Linked DNA regions of Drosophila melanogaster. The protein of the gene in region 2 purifies or fractionates together with the protein of the main gene of each other region. This does not show direct contact. Each region holds a gene or a part of one and is shown on either strand. Other genes may lie near its edges.

Region 1 (5,201 bases), on a different chromosome or scaffold from region 2:
CAATGCCAAATTATTTTAACATACAAGGCATTTTAACATAATTTGTTAAAGTAATTTCAAAATTGCTTTACTATCTCGGACAAAATATAGGCAAATTTAATATAAGTTTCAAATAATGAAGTCAAAGTAAAAGTGAATTTTCAGGAATCCCCCTAGTGTATATGAAATTTGTTGATGTGGCACCGTCACTGCATGTTTTGACAGCGCTGAATAAACATTGTTTTTATAACAGTCGATTTTCTCTTTTCTTAATAGACACACAATAATAGATTCCTTAAACTTAGCATGATTATATGGAAATTAAATTAAATATTAAACATGTTTATGATTACGAGATGGTAATTTCACAACGTGGCAGCTCTGGCGAGAGCAACAACAGCTGATTGCTAATCAATGATTAAAAAACTGATTAAATTAGAGATAATTCTCCGCAGCTTACACTTGTCGCAGCTTTCATTGCTCCCCGCATTGCCCCCCAAGTTTCCGTACCCCCTCCTGGATTTCGAGCTTATGGGTGCAGTTGGATCCGCTTTGAGATCCCCAATAGTCGACATGTCCACCAAGCAGGCGAAATTCGTTGAAAACACCATTGCCAGCAACAAAGTGGTGATATTCAGCAAGACCTACTGTCCCTACTGCACGATGGCCAAAGAGGTGAGAAAGTTGCGAGACCTTGAAAAGTCCCAAACAGTGATAAACATCTTTGCGTTCCAGCCCTTCAAAAAGCTCAATGTGGACGCCACCATAATAGAACTCGATGGAAATCCCGATGGCAACGAAATTCAGGCAGTTCTGGGCGAGATTACCGGTGCCAGAACGGTGGGTGCACTAAATATTTTACATTATAAAGATTAATTATCATTTGTAACCTGTGTACTGTGTAGGTTCCCCGCGTCTTTATCGATGGCAAATTCATTGGCGGTGGCACTGACATCAAACGAATGTTCGAGACAGGAGCTCTGCAAAAATATTTCCAATAAATAGTGTTCTTACTCTGTTCAGAACTCCGTTTTATGTAAAAAGTTTGTTAATCTTCAAAGTCCTTAATAAATGCTTTTAAAATTTATGTTTTGCGCTTATTGAGATTACATCGTCTTCTGAGTAATGGGCAAAGTGTTACTAATACCATTCATTATCCGTTAATAATTTTTATGATTGTAGTTCTACGGATCTGTTAGCATAGATATCACAAACATAAGAATATCCCCTTCAACTGCGCCCATGTGAGCAACAGTTTGCAGTTTTAACTGATCTGGCAGCGCCGTAACTGCAGTAAATAAAAAATTGTTTACAATAGTATTTAATAAACTGAATGATGGCTGATTTGGTGAGCGGTGAAGCTTCTGAATCCGACGAGGAGCTGCAGGAGAAGAATAAGGTTGTTGAGGATATCATTTATAAATAACAGTCCAATAATAAAACCATTTTGTGACAGATTTTTGCTGCTGAAATTTCGGGCGAAGCCTCCGAAGAGGATGATGAAGACATTTACGAGCAAGGCCGAAGCAGCAACCAGGTCAACAGCACGGCTTCCATTTACCGGAATAATCTGCTTCAGCGGAAACTAAGTATGTCACCAATTCTGTGCCTTCAAACATTTCAACTTAATGCCCTTTTCCAGTCGAAAACAACATTGCCATTTGGAGATCCCTTACCGCTTTCACTCGCAGCTTTGTGTTGAGTGCATCAAAGCAGCTCGTAACCACTGATCAAATGCTCATCAAGTCGCAACATAGTCTTCAGTCGGCTCACACATCCCTGCAGCAGGCCCAGAAGAACGCCCAGGACCTGCAAAACAGGGTGGCTGATGTTATTACCAGCAACTTCCTCCCGCACATAAGCATCCAGAAGGCAACCTGACTTAGACGTATAGTGTATTTGCTGATAAACGATCAAATCTAGGCTAATCCTCTGTATCGGAATTGGGCGCATAGACCTGAGTGTTGGGTGAGGGCTCCCGCGGCACGTAGGTCCTCTGAAAGCAACGTGAGAAGATGGTTCGCACCTTGTTAGGGCGCTCAGGTGACTGGGGTATAGTTTCGTCCTCGTCGGAGGAGCTTTTCGCAGGTTTAGGTTGTTGAGAGTCGTCTGTGTTGATAAAGCAAACCTCCGTGCTGTTCGGCGGCTCTGGAGCAGGTGCCATGCTGGCCTCCAAAGCGGCATCCGCGGCTGCCAGCATGAGAGCCTCTTGTTCCGCCTCATCTTCAATCAGAACCACAGTGTCCACCTCGGCTAGGATGCGAGGGTGCTGAACAGATGGCGCCTCCGAGTCCCGGAACTGAAACAGTGGATTATCTAGGCTCGATTCTAATTGGGTCTCCTCAACTCGCCGTTTTGGCTGCACTGCAGCCGGTTCCGAAGAGCTGCCTTTGCGTTTGTTGGTCACATTCGGCTTCGAAACGCTGCTCTTTCGCTTTGCGGCCGCCGCTCGTACATCCTCATCCTGCACTGTCAGATCCTTTTGACAATAATCTTCCGAGAAGCTTATATCATCGGGGGATAGCGTGGACATGATCAGCAAGCATTCAATCTCGCCATGCTTCTTAATTTTGAGCAGGAAAGGCATGCCCGCTTCGTCGAACTCCAGGGTCAGCGAAGCATTTAAGCACTCGGCGAAGAGGAGAAATGCTCGGAATTCCTTAATGCAGAATGTAATGACCGTCTCCTTCGTTACCTGGTACTGCTCAAATTCACTGGGCTTAAGTTTCAGCTGCGTGCGCATGAACTTATCATTAACTCGGGCTCCTTCTATGTAGTTTTTGGCCACCACACTGCCCGAGTTTGCCTCCAAAGTAAGTTCCTCCTCTGAGGAGTTAAAGTTATTGGATATATCCGTCAACAGCTTGTGATCGCCACGGATTCTGAAATGTTGAGTAGTAAATTCGGATTTATATGGGCATAGTTGTTTTAAGAGAAATAAGGTAAGGAGATAAACTTAATAGTTATCCTTAACACAAACCAAAACTCACATATTCGGCATCTGATCGGTGTTAATGTTTGTGTTAATGTTTTGGTCGTCTATGATGGAAATGGTGGCCTCCTTTGTGGTCTCCAGCTTACAGCGGAGATTCACCTGCAGGTTGGTCTGGTTGTCCAGCAAGTTGAGTTCACAGTACTCCACCTGGAACATAATATTCTTAACAACTAATCCCAGTGAGCAGACTTTCGAACTTACCTCATTCATGTTGCGGAACACGGCCAAACATCCCTTCATGGAGATCTTGCAGTAGAAATCTGAGTGCGGCGGCATGTCATACACTTCGAACATGGATCTTTTGAACGATATGCTGCCCACTGCGGATTGGGTGGCATTTATGGCCCGCATCTGCAAGGATTGCTGGTCGATCTCGATGAACATCTCCTTGCCCACCTTGGACAGCGATTGTACGGCTTTGGCGATGACTTAAAAAATGAATTCTTTTAGTTATCAATATATTTTGCTGTTTATTATGTGGTACCTCTTGCATTGCTGCCCTCTAAAGTGTATTTCATTGGCAATATTTGCACTATGTTTTTGGTCGCGAAATTCGCGCTGAAATTTGTAAACAAACAAATTAGAGTGATAGTAGTCGCACAACAGGTATGAAAAATACCAACAAAGGAATTTAGTTACCCATTTATGCATTTTGAAGTAAGTATGTACTATTTTTATATTTCAATAATTTCTTTTATAATTTAAAGCAAAATATTTCCATATTGACAATTGTCCGTAAAATAAATAAATTTAAATAAGTTCTTCAACCCGATGTAGTTCCAATGTAGTCTGGTCACACTGCGGCATGCCGGTTCATCAACGAACGCCACATCAGTTCTAAATCAAATTAAGAAAAACTGGGCTAAAACCAGCCGAAAACTGGTGAAAAGTAAAATATTTGGAGAAGGAAAGCCTTAAGTTCCTCTCTACGCTTAGTATACGTAATGTGCGTGGTTTAATCTACGTTAAAACAAGTGGAAACCATGTTACGTGCCGTGGCTTTGTGTGTGTCTGTGGTGCTCATAGCACTATATACGCCAACTTCTGGGGAATCCAGTCAGAGCTATCCCATCACCACGCTAATCAACGCGAAATGGACGCAGACGCCCCTATATCTGGAAATCGCCGAGTATCTGGCCGATGAGCAGGCGGGCCTCTTCTGGGATTACGTTTCGGGGGTGACCAAGTTGGACACGGTTCTCAACGAATATGGTTTGTGTTTATAAGTCATGGAGAACCCGCATTAAAGAGCTTTTATATTCTCCTCAATGTGAATCGAATCCATATAAAATCAAGTAATGGTTCGGAATATAAAATCACCTATTCCCAAAGCCCTATAATGTGATCTTTTCCCAAAGGGTAATTTATTTTTCTGATTACGTTTTCGCTTTTCAGATACCGAGTCGCAACAGTACAATGCCGCCTTGGAGCTGGTCAAGAGCCATGTGAGTTCTCCCCAATTGCCCCTGCTTAGGCTGGTGGTATCCATGCATAGCTTGACGCCCCGGATCCAGACCCACTTCCAGTTGGCCGAGGAACTGAGGAGCAGTGGCTCTTGTCAGAGCTTTACTTTTGCCCAGGTGGGTTCCGAACTGGCCTGCAGCTTTAACGAGCTGCAGAAGAAGCTGGAAGTGCCGCTCGCCAAGGATAGCTTGGATGCTTCTGTTGTCACCTACAGCTTTGATCACATTTTCCCTGGCAGTGAGAACAATACCCGCACTGTGGTACTATACGGCGATTTGGGAAGCTCTCAATTCCGCACCTATCACAAACTATTGGAAAAGGAAGCCAATGCTGGCCGGATTCGTTACATCTTGCGTCATCAATTGGCCAAGAAGGACAAGCGACCGGTACGACTTTCGGGCTATGGAGTGGAACTCCATCTGAAGTCAACGGAATACAAGAGTCAGGATGATGCTCCAAAGCCCGAAGCTGGTTCCACTTCTGATGAGGATTTGGCTAATGAATCGGACGTCCAGGGCTTTGATTTCAAGGTGCTGAAGCAGAAGCATCCTACACTTAAGAGAGCGCTGGATCAACTGCGTCAGAGGCTTCTTCAGGGAAACGATGAGATCGCCCAATTGAAAGCATGGGAGTTCCAGGATTTGGGTCTCCAGGCGGCCGCTGCTATTGCAGAAATACAGGGTGATGAAACCCTACAAATTCTTCAATATACTGCCCATAATTTCCCCATGTTGGCCAGAACCCTGCTGGCCCACAAGGTTAC
Region 2 (8,524 bases):
GGGCGTAAACAAACTCATCTGCGGGCGTTTGGCAATTAAGTGTCGTTACCTTGCGGGTCTTAACACTCTAATATGCTCCGATTTGGAATGGTAAAAGAATTATGATACAATTTCACTGCCACAACGTAACAATTACACTTTTCTTACCAACTGGAATTGGAATGGGAATAAAAAGTGCACATATGGTAGTGCTGGACAGCGACCAGAACTGGAGGCATATATCGGTGGAGCTGCCAGTGCTTGAAAGTTTCCATTCAGTGGGCGGGAAATTCAAAACTGTTTGATTTGGAATCTACTTCATCCTGCAACTCAAACAGCTAAAATGACTTGAGTTATTTGCTAATATACACTAGGTTAATGGAAGAGTAATATGACATTTGTCTTCTTGAGCTTTGGTTTGATGGGGTGGATGGCAATTAATCCATTATCCTTTTAAATGCAACCTGAAAATATTTTTGCCTTGTCATGTGGGCATTCTACGCAGCCTATAAAAGCATTTTCCCGCTGCCTTATGGTAATTAAAATGATTTCTTTTCTGCTGGTGTCAGTTCTTCTGTGCTTGGTCGGGGCTTCTGACTCGGAATCCATGCAAGTCCAAGTACTCCAGGATCTCAATTTGGCTCTCCAAACGGAGCTCAATGTGTTCATCGATTTTGAGTGCTGCGCCACCTCAGAGATACTCCACAAATTGGACTCGCCGAGAATTTTACTCTCCTCCAACTCGAGGGAAGCTAGAGATCTTAGAATTCGGGGAAACTTCACAGAGAGTACCCTTATCATAGTAAGTGTAATGGATTCAGATCTGAATCCACTGGTTGCCAGTCTTCTGCCACGCTTGTTGGACGAGCTCCATGAGCTGCACATAGTGTTCCTGAGCAATGAGGAACCAGGATTTCCGAAACAGGACCTCTACACCTACTGCTTCAAGGAGGGATTCGTAAATGTAATTCTGATGAGCGGAAAGGGCCTCTACAGCTACCTACCGTATCCTAGCATTCAACCGATCAGCCTATCAAATGTGTCCGAGTATTTCGATCGCGCAAGGATAATTCGAAACTTTCAAGGCTTTCCTGTCCGCATACTTCGAAGCACATTAGCTCCTCGGGACTTTGAGTACTCCAACGAACAGGGTGGCTTGGTGCGAGCAGGATATTTGTTCACAGCGGTCAAGGAGCTGACTTATCGCTATAACGCCACCATCGAGAGTGTACCCATACCCGATCTGCCGGAATATGATGTATACTTGGCCGTTGCTGAAATGCTACATACAAAAAAGATCGACATTGTTTGCTACTTCAAAGATTTCAGCTTGGAAGTGGCCTACACAGCACCACTTTCGATTATCCGCGAGTACTTCATGGCTCCCCACGCCCGTCCGATTTCCAGTTATCTGTACTACTCCAAGCCCTTCGGCTGGACCCTTTGGGCGGTCGTGATTTCGACTGTCTTGTACGGAACCGTAATGCTGCATCTGGCTGCGCGAGGAGCACGAGTCGAGATTGGAAAGTGCTTGCTGTACAGCCTCAGCCACATCCTATACAACTGCCACCAGAAAATCAGAGTTGCTGGCTGGAGGGACGTGGCCATCCATGGCATTCTAACGATCGGAGGCTTTATACTGACCAACGTCTACTTGGCCACGCTCTCCAGCATCCTCACATCCGGGCTGTACGACGAGGAGTACAACACTCTGGAGGATCTGGCCAGGGCTCCCTACCCCAGTCTGCACGACGAGTACTACAGAAGTCAGATGAAGGCGAAAACCTTCCTGCCCGAACGGCTCCGCAGGAACAGCTTGAGCTTGAACGCCACCCTGCTAAAGGCGTACCGGGATGGGCTCAATCAGAGCTACATATACATATTGTACGAGGACCGCCTGGAGCTGATCCTGATGCAGCAGTACCTGCTGAAGACGCCGCGCTTCAACATGATTCGCCAGGCCGTGGGTTTTACCCTCGAATCCTACTGCGTGTCCAACAGTCTGCCGTACTTGGCGATGACCAGTGAGTTCATGAGGCGCCTGCAGGAGCACGGGATCAGCATCAAAATGAAGGCGGACACTTTCCGGGAGCTCATCCATCAGGGAATCTATACCTTGATGCGCGATGATGAGCCGCCGGCTAAGGCATTCGACCTGGACTACTACTTTTTCGCATTTGTTTTGTGAACTGTGGGACTGATTTCGTCTCTTCTCGTTTTTTTCGCGGAACTCGTAAGTGGGCACCTTTAAGGAAGTTGGTTAGCGGGTGGCCCTTATCGGATCGTTTATTTCCTTATAAGGTGCACTTAACAAAAAACGCTTATTATGATAACTTATACAATTATTCAATCTGTCATGATGAGACCACTAATGGCATACCTTAATTAATTCAACTAAATCTCTACCCATTTCAAATCGGCCAGCGGTTTAAATATTTTGGGTATAAAGCAACGCTTACTTAATGTGTACTAATAGCGACTTCGACTCAGACCAAGTCTTCGACTCTTTTTGGGTTGCATGCAAATAGGGGACATGTCCTCCGCATCCTGTCTATTCTTTGTACAGTCCTTGGAGCGATTTAAGTCCCTGTCGGCCAGCGGAGTACTTGTCGAGGAAGGCTTGGGAGCGAATCGCTCCATAGTGGGTAAGGCGCAGGAAGTGGAAGTTTCAGTTGACAAAATGATCTTTCGCTTTCTTTTTAGTGACAGGAGGTTCCGGCGAGCTATTACGGACTTCTTGGTGGCCTGGTCCAGTGGTGATTTGCCGGCAAGTTGCGATAGTGAGGAGTGGATCTCCTGCGACCTTCTGGGTGTCCTCACCAATGGCTGGCTACACAGCGGATGCTCTTCCTTTGCAGAATGCTCCACGAAGAAGTCGTGTTTGAAATGCTCAATATCTGAGGTATTTTTTAGACTTTGTACATTGCAAAAAGTTGGCTTGTTGGCACTGTCTTCTGCCGCCGCTTCATCTACGAACTTGGCATCAATATTTCTCGATTCCTCAGAGATCACAGTTGGTTGGTTCGAGTCAGTGCTTGCATCGGCGGCTTGAAATTCACTCATGAACTGTGCAACTTTGATTTTCGTATTTTCCGAAATCACAATTCCTTTATTTGAAGCGGTACGAAAGCCGAAGAATTCGGTCTCAGATACGGTTTTAGTATTCACAGCCTTATTATTTTCAACATTTATTGAATGAATCTCATTGTTTGGAGAGGTGGGTAGAACATCAGGAAAATCGCTTGGCTGCCACCCGTTTAATTGGTCTGTAGCTTTAGACTGGGCCAGAAACATGGCTCCTCTCTTCTCCATCGCCTCGGTAATCTCAATGGCTTTGTTTGACGCTGTTCTAAAGCCGAAAAACTGTGATTCATTTAAGTCACGGCAAACTGGGTCAAGTGTGGGTTGATGCGGTTCCCGCATTGTAGTATCAACGACCACCAACTTGGAAGCTTTCGATCGCATTTCCTCTGAACTCTCTATTGATCTTTTTAAGGCTGTATCAAGTCCAACAGACGTCGGTTTGTCATTTGGCTGATGGACTAAATAATCATTTTGTTGAATTGTTTCTTTGGATTGAAACTCAGCCATAAACTCTGCAGTTTTGATTTTCATCTTCTCAGAAATCGGAATTGCCTTATTTGAGGCTGTGCGAAAGCCACAAAACTCGGGCTCTGCTATAGTATCGTTATTGAGAGGACTGAATTTTCCATTTATTTCTCCAACGTCAACTTTAGCTATTGCATTGTAGGTTTCCTTACCATCCAATATTTCGATGGGCTTGCTTGGGGCTGATTTGAATTCCGCACACTGTGTTGATTCCATTACTTGACTATGATTATCGGAGTATTCCTCAGTACGTAAGTTGCACTTGTGACTAAAGTGATATAGGCCGGATACAACTTTGTCTACAAACTCTTCGCCTTTAATTTTCATTTCTTCCGAAACCTCGATAAATTTGAAGGACTTCTTTCGAATGCCATTAAGTTGATGACTGCTTATGGTCTGACTTTTATTAGGAGTCTGCTTTTCTGGTTGCTCCTTGTCGTCCAGATTTATTGAATTGATGTTTTCTTTAGGCCCTTGAATTGCGTTTTTGGAGGTTGATGGGCCATTAGAGCACTGCATTGGTTGCCAATCATTAAAAAGAAACTCCTCAAGAAGCTCGCCGTCGTTCAATAGGTTTTCTTGCTCTGCAGCATTAGGCTGATCCAGAATAGTAGTTCCTTCGTTTTTCGTGTTAATATCACAAGATTGTTTTGAGGCTCCTCTAACCTTTGATGCATTTGAATCTTTGCTACTTTTTTGTTCTTTCTGGGAACTTGGCTCCAACTTTAACTTTTTATCGGGTATATGTTTGATTACATCTTTGGAGATCTCGGGCAGTTCCATCGGAGTTAGCCATTCACTTAGTGGTATGCCTTCTAATATGAAGTTTGTGTTCTCCTCTATGTCAACATTTTTTGCTTGCGTTTGGCCCATCAAAAGTTTCTTATTTTCAGCAATTTCGACATCAGCTTTTTTCAATGTAGAGTCTGCATCAGACCAAACATTACGTTTTCCACTTTCTATAAATAAGGGTTTATATTAATGAACTTCGCAACAACATAAATTGCATATGAATTACCCAATCGGAGGCGCGTAGTGGGAACCGATTGCATGCTATCGCCATAAATAGTGTCTGCCATAGTTCCTGGACCTACGTACATATAAAAGGAGTTACAAATGTGTTTCTTGCCATATCGATCCCACTCCCTACCTTCCTGCTCATGCTCATTTTCATAGAAAGAGGCCTCAAATGTAAATCCGCTCTGCAACAGGTCATCCCTCAAGTTCTCCAATTCAGCGTTGAAACACTCGTCACCAGAATCCTGCCTTGCTTCGGTTGGCAGATCTATTTGCGATGGGACAGGAGTCGGACCGGAAGCTGTCGCGGTCGCGGAAAAGTATTGACTGAGGTTCAAAAGGACCTCGTGTATCTTCTGTGATGAAGCATCGAAATCACAAGCCATAGATGTGAACGAAGTATTGAGATCCCTCTGCACGGAGAGGCCTGAGGAACCTCTACGCTTCTCGTTTTGAACGGCCTTGTGGCTTTTGGGATCCCTCTTCCGGCTGTAGGTTCTGATCCTTTTGTTGCGAAATCGAAACCACGGCTCCGACTCATGGCTGGGCTCATCCTCATCCTCTGCGTATGTTGGAGACGAGCAAAAGTCGCTCATGATCATCTCGACCTGGTCCTCGGGCGTGGGCTCTGCGTAGGACAAAATAAGATCCTCCACGGCGACGAAGTCGCTGTTGTCCACCGCAAGCCGCTCGTGACCCCGAGTCCGTCGAGCGATGGCGAAAGTCTGGCGATCGGCTTCGCATATTTTGGCCATTTCGTCGATAATGTTACTCCGATTTGCCGCCGCGGAAACTGTGGCGCCACGTTCGCGCGCATGGGCTCCTCTTCCTTGGGATAGCCTGTTCGGATGACTTCCCGATGCGCCATTCTGGTCCATCACGTCATCTAATTGTTTAAATGTGTTTTATTTGAAGTAAGCAAGTGTCCAATGCTTTTGTGGTTGCATTTCCAAAACAAGGGGTGCAGTGTTGGTAAGCGTTGCTTTGATGGCCATTATCCGCTAACTGTGGAGGGTGGACTTGCTAAGCAATCGGGAGCGAGAAAGTCATCGATGGTATGGCCAAGAACATGAAGGCCTCACGTATCGATGGCAGATGCATCGATGTTTTTTAACATCACTAATCACTAGTAGCGACAGTTTTTGCATAAAATACAATTAAATAATAAAGGGCCATCGCCGAAGCTGCAAAAACCAGGTTTTACACTGCTGCAATTGCTGAAGAGTCTAGTTTAGGTGCCACTCGAAAACAATACCGGAAAGTGTTACGCGAAAGCCCAGCAGAGCCCCAAAGAATCAGCCCAAAAGTGAAAGCCCCCAGAAAAAGTAAAGTACAAAAGAGCGAAAGGAAGAGCCAGAGAGGTAAAGAAAGAGAGAGCGAAGAGCGTTGAAAAGAGTCTGTGCGAGAGAAAAACGATTTTTTCAACTCCGCGAATCCTTGGTCATATTCCGTGTGCAAATCCTGGTAAGTGGGCATTCCGCTGGATTACGACTAGATTGGCCATAACGCAGATTCCCGACATCCCAGGTAAATCGGGAAGTGAAGTGAAATACTAGGACCAGGACAAGAACGCCGTCAAGATTCTCGGGCCCATCTACAGCGGTATCCAGATCCAGAGCCACGGCCACCAGGACGCAGAATCCACCTACAGCACCTACAGCACTCCACTAGCCGCCACCACGCTCCACAAACAGCCAGCAGCCATTATGTTCGTCAACTCCATGACGTTCCGCGGCAATCCGGCGAACTACCACCAGCAGCAGCCGGCCCTGAACCACCACACGCTGGCAGCGGCGCACCACCAGCAGCAGCTGCACCACCACGCCGCTGCAGCTGGTCACCTGAGCCACGTCGGCGGTGGGCACGCAGCCAGTAACCACCTGGCGGCCGCCGCTGTTCTCGGACGGCATGGCCACAACTCCCTGGGCAGCGGGCACACGTCCACGTCCTCGCACTCGGCCAATGTGGGCGTGGGAGTCGGCGGGGGAGCTCTGGCTAGCGGCTCCACTGGGGGCAGCGGAGGCAACAGCTCTCCGGACAGTGGCAAGATCTATATCAAGAACCTGGAGCGGTCCATCGACAACAAGGCGGTGTACGACACGTTCTCGGTGTTCGGAAACATCCTAAACTGCAATGTGGCCAAAGACGAGGATGGCAATTCACGCGGCTATGGGTTTGTGCATTTCGATTCGGAGGAGGCCGCCCGAGCGGCCATCGAGAAGGTGAATGGGATGCTGTGCAATAATCAGAAGGTGCATGTGGTCAAGTTCATACCACGGCGGGACCGGGAGCAGGAGAAGGCCACGCACTTCAAGAATCTGTATGTGAAGAACCTCAGCGAGGAGTTCACCGAGCAGCATTTGCGCGAGATGTTCGAGCCCTACGGCCGCATCACCAGTCACAAGGTACGTTGTTTGGTCACCTCATCTTCCCTACGGGGATGTTCGTGGGGCCGGGTGGTTGGACGACAACCATGTGGCACAGTTTTGCACTCTCTTAAGTCCTCTCTTGCGCCATTGCTGCGCATGCCCATGTAGCCACGAGGAGTTTGTGACGGCGGGGAAGATGAGGACTCCACCTGGCCCATCTGTGCTAATTTGTTTATATCATCGATTTGCTTTCTCCGATCCTTGCAGCTCATGCTGGACGAGGAGGGGCGCTCCCGGCGTTTCGGTTTCGTCGCCTACGAGAACCCACAGTCGGCGCTGGCCGCCGTAATTGGCCTGCACGGCAAGCAGCTGGGCGACAACAAGTTCTTGTACGTGGCAAGAGCCCTCAGCAAGGCCGAGCGGCAGCAGGAGATCAATCGCAAGCTGGAGGAGCGCAAGCGGCAGAAGGCCGGCCAGATATTCTACTACTAAGGCTTCGGCGGCGGCAGCTGATCCAAGGACATCGCTAGGAGTTGACTTGGAACCCACACACATACAATACACACCCATATATAAACCTATATAGATATTTACGAGAAATTGTATCGAGCAGCTAGGCGGACATTCAGGCAGCAGACGGACGGGAGGCAGCTCCTTCGCATATACACTTAGATGTAGGCAAAAGTCTTGCAACACAGTTGAAATTTATAGAAAGAACACAGGGCAGAAACAAAGGGAGGGAGAGGCAGAAAACGAGCTCTCAACCGAAAGGATTTTCTAGGCATTAGGACAACAATTTCTTAGCACTCACTAGCGTTTTTTTGGAATTAGATGTTTGTCTTTACTGTTGAATTTAGTGAGCAGGGGCTTTGCTGTCAGCTTCTCGCCTAAAGAACACATTGCGTACACACACGTATTTCGAAATGTATTTACCCACACAAGGCCAACTTTCACACTGGCCCCTTGGCATTAAGTCTAGATCGTGCGATCGCAACTAGAGCTACGCCCAGCTCAGTCCTGGGCAACATATGAATATTTACACTTACCTAATATATATGTATTAAAACCAAACTAAACCAAGAAACAAAGCAAAACGAAAACAAACAAAAAAAGAACAAAAAACAAAATGGAAAAACGGAAAAAATACAATTGATGTAACCCCTATTAACAAGTGAAGCACCCACTCCACGTATATACATAACATATACATATATCTAATGTAACTCCACACGCTGTAGTTAGAAAGCGTTTATAATACTCACAACTCCCTACGCTATAACTAAACTTTTGACGAGGAAATCAAGTGCAACCATTGCGAAAGCGAACCCTACACGTAATTTATAGAGTAGACGCCGATGCGGACGAGGAATAGGTCAGAGCTGGAGAGGAGAGATCCGATATGGAATTAGCAGGGGCCCAGCGCCTATCCTGCGGACAGTACATGAGTATTAAAATTTTAGCGATTACAAGACATTTTTGTAATTAATTGTACATTGTTTCAAGTAGCAGAAACTAAAGTGAAACCACAAAACAGGACAGCAAGACAGTAA
Region 3 (3,949 bases), on a different chromosome or scaffold from region 2:
CCGAGGAAGCCTGGATGGAGAACGCCCGCAAAGAAGCCTTGGAGCTCAAACTGAAACTAGAGAGCGGCCAAATCAATCCGGAGTCCATGCCCGATAGGATCGTGGTGGAGCCAACACGCAGCGAAATACCCAAGCAGGAGGCTTTGCGATTCATCGAGGAGCTCATTGAGCACGAGGATGCCCTCTTCATGGAGCGAGACTTCATCCAACTTTCCCAGCAGCTGCGCGAATGTTTGGGCCTGCGGCGCGCCAATGTGGGCAAATGCCTGGAGATCCTCGAGCAGTTCAAGGAGGTGGAGTTCACCAAGTTGATGCTGCTGCGCAATCCGGAGTGCGTGGACATAATGCGCCGACTTCGCCGGTATGTGGGCAATCTGGAGCTCTGGAAAATGGACCTGTCCGACGAGGTGGAGTTCAAGGAGAGGGCGCAGACCATACGCAAGGTCTCCTCTGGCATATACGATGGCTTCAAGAGTCTCTTCAATCCGGAGCCCGAGAGCGAGGACAACTTTTGGATCGACTTCTGCGAAAAGGTAAAAATCTACAAGACCTATACGAAAAATATCAACGAAAACCTTCGCGTCGGGATGAACGAGCGCGGATATAATAGCCTGGTTTTGGCCAAGGAGGCCGCCGCTTCAGCCGGATCGGCTCCACAGTAAATGATCGAGGACCAGTTCTGCTGGACCAATTACATGATAAGGTAGGATGGGAAACCGCAAACCGCTGAGTTGAAACACATCTTCAAGAATCCTCTTTCTTGCAGTTACTCGTAAGCGTTACAAACCAGGCAACTTAAAGACCGTGCTTTGGATGACAAAGTTTTGATGAGCCAAGTGGGCTATGCTTAATTCTAGGTTAAAAATTCAGCTAAATTCCTTAATTCTGTTTGCCTGCCAGGTGCATGTCGTGTTACGCTGCGCTGATGGGGCTTTTCCTGCTGCATCCGCTTATTACCAGACTAAAAAAAAGGTTTTTGCTTCGAAACCCCTAAATATTTTCTAAGTTTGTAGATGATTTGAATAATATTGAATTAAATATAGATGGTACATACAATTCGCAACGGCTGTTTTATTTCGTCGTTATCCTAAACATTCTAAGTAAACATTAAAACAAAAAAAAAAACAATCTACGAAGTTTAATTCTTAGTCTAGGGATAAGTAATCATTAGAAAGTTAGGGAGCTCTATTCCTAGCATTAATTAACCTATAAGTGAGCACAATTAGCTCTCCCTGGCGTCTCCTATTCCATCCGGCAGAATGGCGAACATGGCCTCCGATTCCGGCAAACAGGGCGAGTCGTAGATCTTGCAGATGCGGGTTTCGCCTTTACCCTTGCGCAGATACAGCCGCGTGGTTGAGGAGTGGGCCATGATGTGCCCGCCAATGGGCTTCTTGGCATCAAACATGCCGGGTGCGCCGTCCAGCGAGGCAGTAACCTGGTTAGTAATTACCACAGCCACTCCGAACTCATCGGCCAGGCGTTGAAGCATGCGCAGAAATAAGCCCAAATGGTTTTGCCTGGCGGCCAGCTCCCCGCGACCAATATAATCGGATCTGTAGAGCGCCATGGCACTGTCCACAATCAGCAAAGCGTATCTGGACTCAAAGAGCATGCCCGCCGCCATCTGGATGAGCTTGGTCTGCTGATCTGAGTTGTGGGCACGGGTGAAGGCCACATTGTCCAGCACCTCGGATTCATTCAGTTTGTACCTTTGCGCGATGGCAGCCAAACGCTCCGGACGGAAGGTGTTCTCCGTGTCGATGTACATGCACTTGCCCTCGCCGCCCTTCTGGCTGATGGGCAGCTGGCAGGTTACTGCCAGAGTGTGGCACAATTGGGTCTTTCCGCAGCGGAACTCGCCAAAGATCTCGGTAATGGATCCCGTCTCAATGCCGCCGCCCAGCAGTTTATCCAGCTCCTTGGAGCCCGTGCTCAGCTGCACGACATCGGCACGCATTTGATAGAAGGTGCGAGCACTAAGGAAGCCCAGAGGCACCAGTTTGTTAGCCTCCGTGATGATCTGCTCCACCTTGCCGCCGCCCAAGCCGGGAATGGCCATCAGTTGCTTCTTGGTGGCATTGGCCACCGACTCCACGGTGTGCAGACTGGCCTGCTGGAGCAGCTTGATGTCCTTGGCCGTGATGCTGCCGCCCTAGGAGGAGGATATCGTAGGGAATGCCCATAATAATCCTGGTCGAGATCGCAGCCTACTCACTATTAACTTAGTCACGCTGAGTGGACCTTCTTCCTCCTCCTCTTCCTGCTGTGCCTGAACATTCGTTAGCTTCTCCATTTGACAGTTTCGAAGTTAAATTTGACTATTTGTTGTTTCGAGTTTCGTTATTTAAATTGCACGTCTTGCGTGAGAGAATTTCGACAAAGACTGCGCGGCGCGCAATTCACTGCAAAATCAGTTTGCCAATCGCCCCGAACGCACAAAACTCTATCACTACAGAGGATCCCGCTTAAAAGGAACGCGCAAGATCACCATGGCGAACTATTACTATTTCGACATCAAACTGTGAGTAGAATGATGTTCTGCGGTCATTAATATAAACTTGGTTGTTATTAAATTCAGTAAATATATTCATTTATTTAATAGTAAACTTCGGGATCCGACTGCAGTTGCTTTGACCCCATCTCTGTTTCGAAGCTGCGTTCTTGACGCCCTGGACAGTTTCTTCTGCGAGGAGAAACCCACACTGGAGATCGTGAAGTTCTGCGCCCAGCAACATCGTGTTATCTTTCGAGTGCCAGAGCAACTGCACGACATGACCCGCATATCCATTGAGCTCATCGGTCACTACCAGCAGATACCCTGTCATTTTGAGATCTTGGAAACATCCAAATCATCGCTGGACTTTGAGAAGAGCATTGAAAAGACTGTCGCGGTTGTGTCCGATGATTAGGACTAGCGAATTGTAATACTCAGTGTAATATACATTATAACCGTCATGAAGAATTTGAATTTGAATCCTAACTGATTTTACTGTGATCTGATTTTTTTGTCATTCACAACGAACTGAAATGATTTCTGTGATGGCTACTAAATGAGATTAAAAAGCGGAAAAACCCCATAAACTTGTAACCATTTTAATAAAATTGCATTTAAGTAGTTCCAATAACAATTTAAATGTTTTAATAAATGGCTATAATTTTAGCTATTTTATAACTACTCATGTCCGTTGTGAGCCGAGCTGGCATCTCTGGCGGCGCACAGCTGTTTGAGAAGCAGAAAGAAACAGCAAAAAAGGGGAGTAATTACATAAAAAAAACACACTGACCGGCAACTTTTGGACGACTTTTCCCGAAGATTCCGCCAAAAAAAGAGGGGCACTGGCACTTGCACCCAAAGCATGAGTGGTTACCAATATCTGGACGTGAAGATGTGAGTTCCGGGCACTCAGCCCCGCTCCTTAAAGCCCCGTATTTCCCACGTGCGCACGTGCATCATGCAAATATAATTAAGATAATTCACGTTTTTAATCGCCAGAAAACTCCGTGATCCAGACTCCGTGACTCTGACGCCCGTATTCTTCTGTGGCTGCATCCATAGCTCCTTGGCTAGTATTTTTGGCGAAATAGGTGGCCAGACCATACTGGAAATTGTGAAATTTAGTTCCAGCCAAAAACGCTCCATTCTCCGGGTGCCCGAGAACGTCCTGGATCGCGTTCGCGTAGCTATAGCCCTAATAGGATACTACCAGGAGGTGCCCTGCCATTTTCAGGTGCTCAGCACATCCCGAAAGCCCTTGGATTTTGAGGAATCCCCCGAGGAGTTTGTAGCATTTAACTAGCATTACCGCATCAGGATGTCATTCTCTTACTGCAAGGAGTACGGCAAGGACAAGGTGATTTTTGTGACCAAGGAGGACCATGCCACGCCCAGCACCATCGAGCTGCCGCCGCCGGAAAAGCCGGAGGGCGTGATCACCAAGGACGGCAA

The links.
Region 1: the proteins of Brca2 (region 2) and Rad9 purify together in Drosophila melanogaster (affinity purification with western blotting; 2 studies listed by BioGRID). This does not show direct contact.
Region 3: the proteins of Brca2 (region 2) and spn-A purify together in Drosophila melanogaster (affinity purification with western blotting; 2 studies listed by BioGRID, with this or other methods). This does not show direct contact.

The regions. Positions count from the first base shown.
Region 1 is NT_037436.4:18,868,993-18,874,193, forward strand, and holds Rad9 (Rad9), read right to left. Parts: upstream 3,562-5,201; 5' UTR 3,493-3,561; coding exon 3,459-3,492; intron 3,403-3,458; coding exon 3,176-3,402; intron 3,122-3,175; coding exon 2,970-3,121; intron 2,862-2,969; coding exon 2,006-2,861; coding exon of another isoform or gene 1,904-2,005; exon of another isoform or gene 1,861-1,903; coding exon of another isoform or gene 1,789-1,860; coding exon 1,687-1,788; coding exon of another isoform or gene 1,622-1,686; intron 1,569-1,621; coding exon of another isoform or gene 1,436-1,568; intron 1,379-1,435; coding exon of another isoform or gene 1,316-1,378; 3' UTR 1,053-1,315; downstream 1-1,052. Other genes in the region: Grx1 (glutaredoxin 1), read left to right, coding at 511-654, 715-819, 885-980; Blos3 (biogenesis of lysosome-related organelles complex 1, subunit 3), read left to right, coding at 1,316-1,378, 1,436-1,568, 1,622-1,860; Uggt (UDP-glucose-glycoprotein glucosyltransferase), read left to right, coding at 3,958-4,186, 4,370-5,201. UniProt on the Drosophila melanogaster protein: Component of the Rad9-Rad1-Hus1 (9-1-1) checkpoint clamp complex.
Region 2 is NT_033778.4:24,523,260-24,531,783, reverse strand, and holds Brca2 (BRCA2, DNA repair associated), read right to left. Parts: upstream 5,613-8,524; 5' UTR 5,484-5,612; coding exon 4,739-5,483; intron 4,679-4,738; coding exon 4,607-4,678; intron 4,548-4,606; coding exon 2,449-4,547; 3' UTR 2,231-2,448; downstream 1-2,230. Other genes in the region: CG4612 (uncharacterized protein), read left to right, coding at 6,312-7,010, 7,242-7,466. UniProt on the Drosophila melanogaster protein: Involved in and required for double-strand break repair by meiotic and mitotic homologous recombination. During meiosis, has a dual role in the repair of meiotic double-stranded breaks and the efficient activation of the meiotic recombination checkpoint.
Region 3 is NT_033777.3:30,053,644-30,057,592, forward strand, and holds spn-A (spindle A), read right to left. Parts: upstream 2,395-3,949; 5' UTR 2,297-2,394; coding exon 2,219-2,296; exon of another isoform or gene 2,156-2,218; coding exon 1,223-2,155; 3' UTR 1,053-1,222; downstream 1-1,052. Other genes in the region: Jasper (JIL-1 anchoring and stabilizing protein), read left to right, coding at 1-662; Rpp14b (ribonuclease P/MRP subunit p14 b), read left to right, coding at 2,493-2,524, 2,606-2,912; Rpp14a (ribonuclease P/MRP subunit p14 a), read left to right, coding at 3,360-3,391, 3,497-3,800; CG7950 (uncharacterized protein), read left to right, coding at 3,816-3,949. UniProt on the Drosophila melanogaster protein: Plays an important role in homologous strand exchange, a key step in DNA repair through homologous recombination (HR). Binds to single and double-stranded DNA and exhibits DNA-dependent ATPase activity. Underwinds duplex DNA.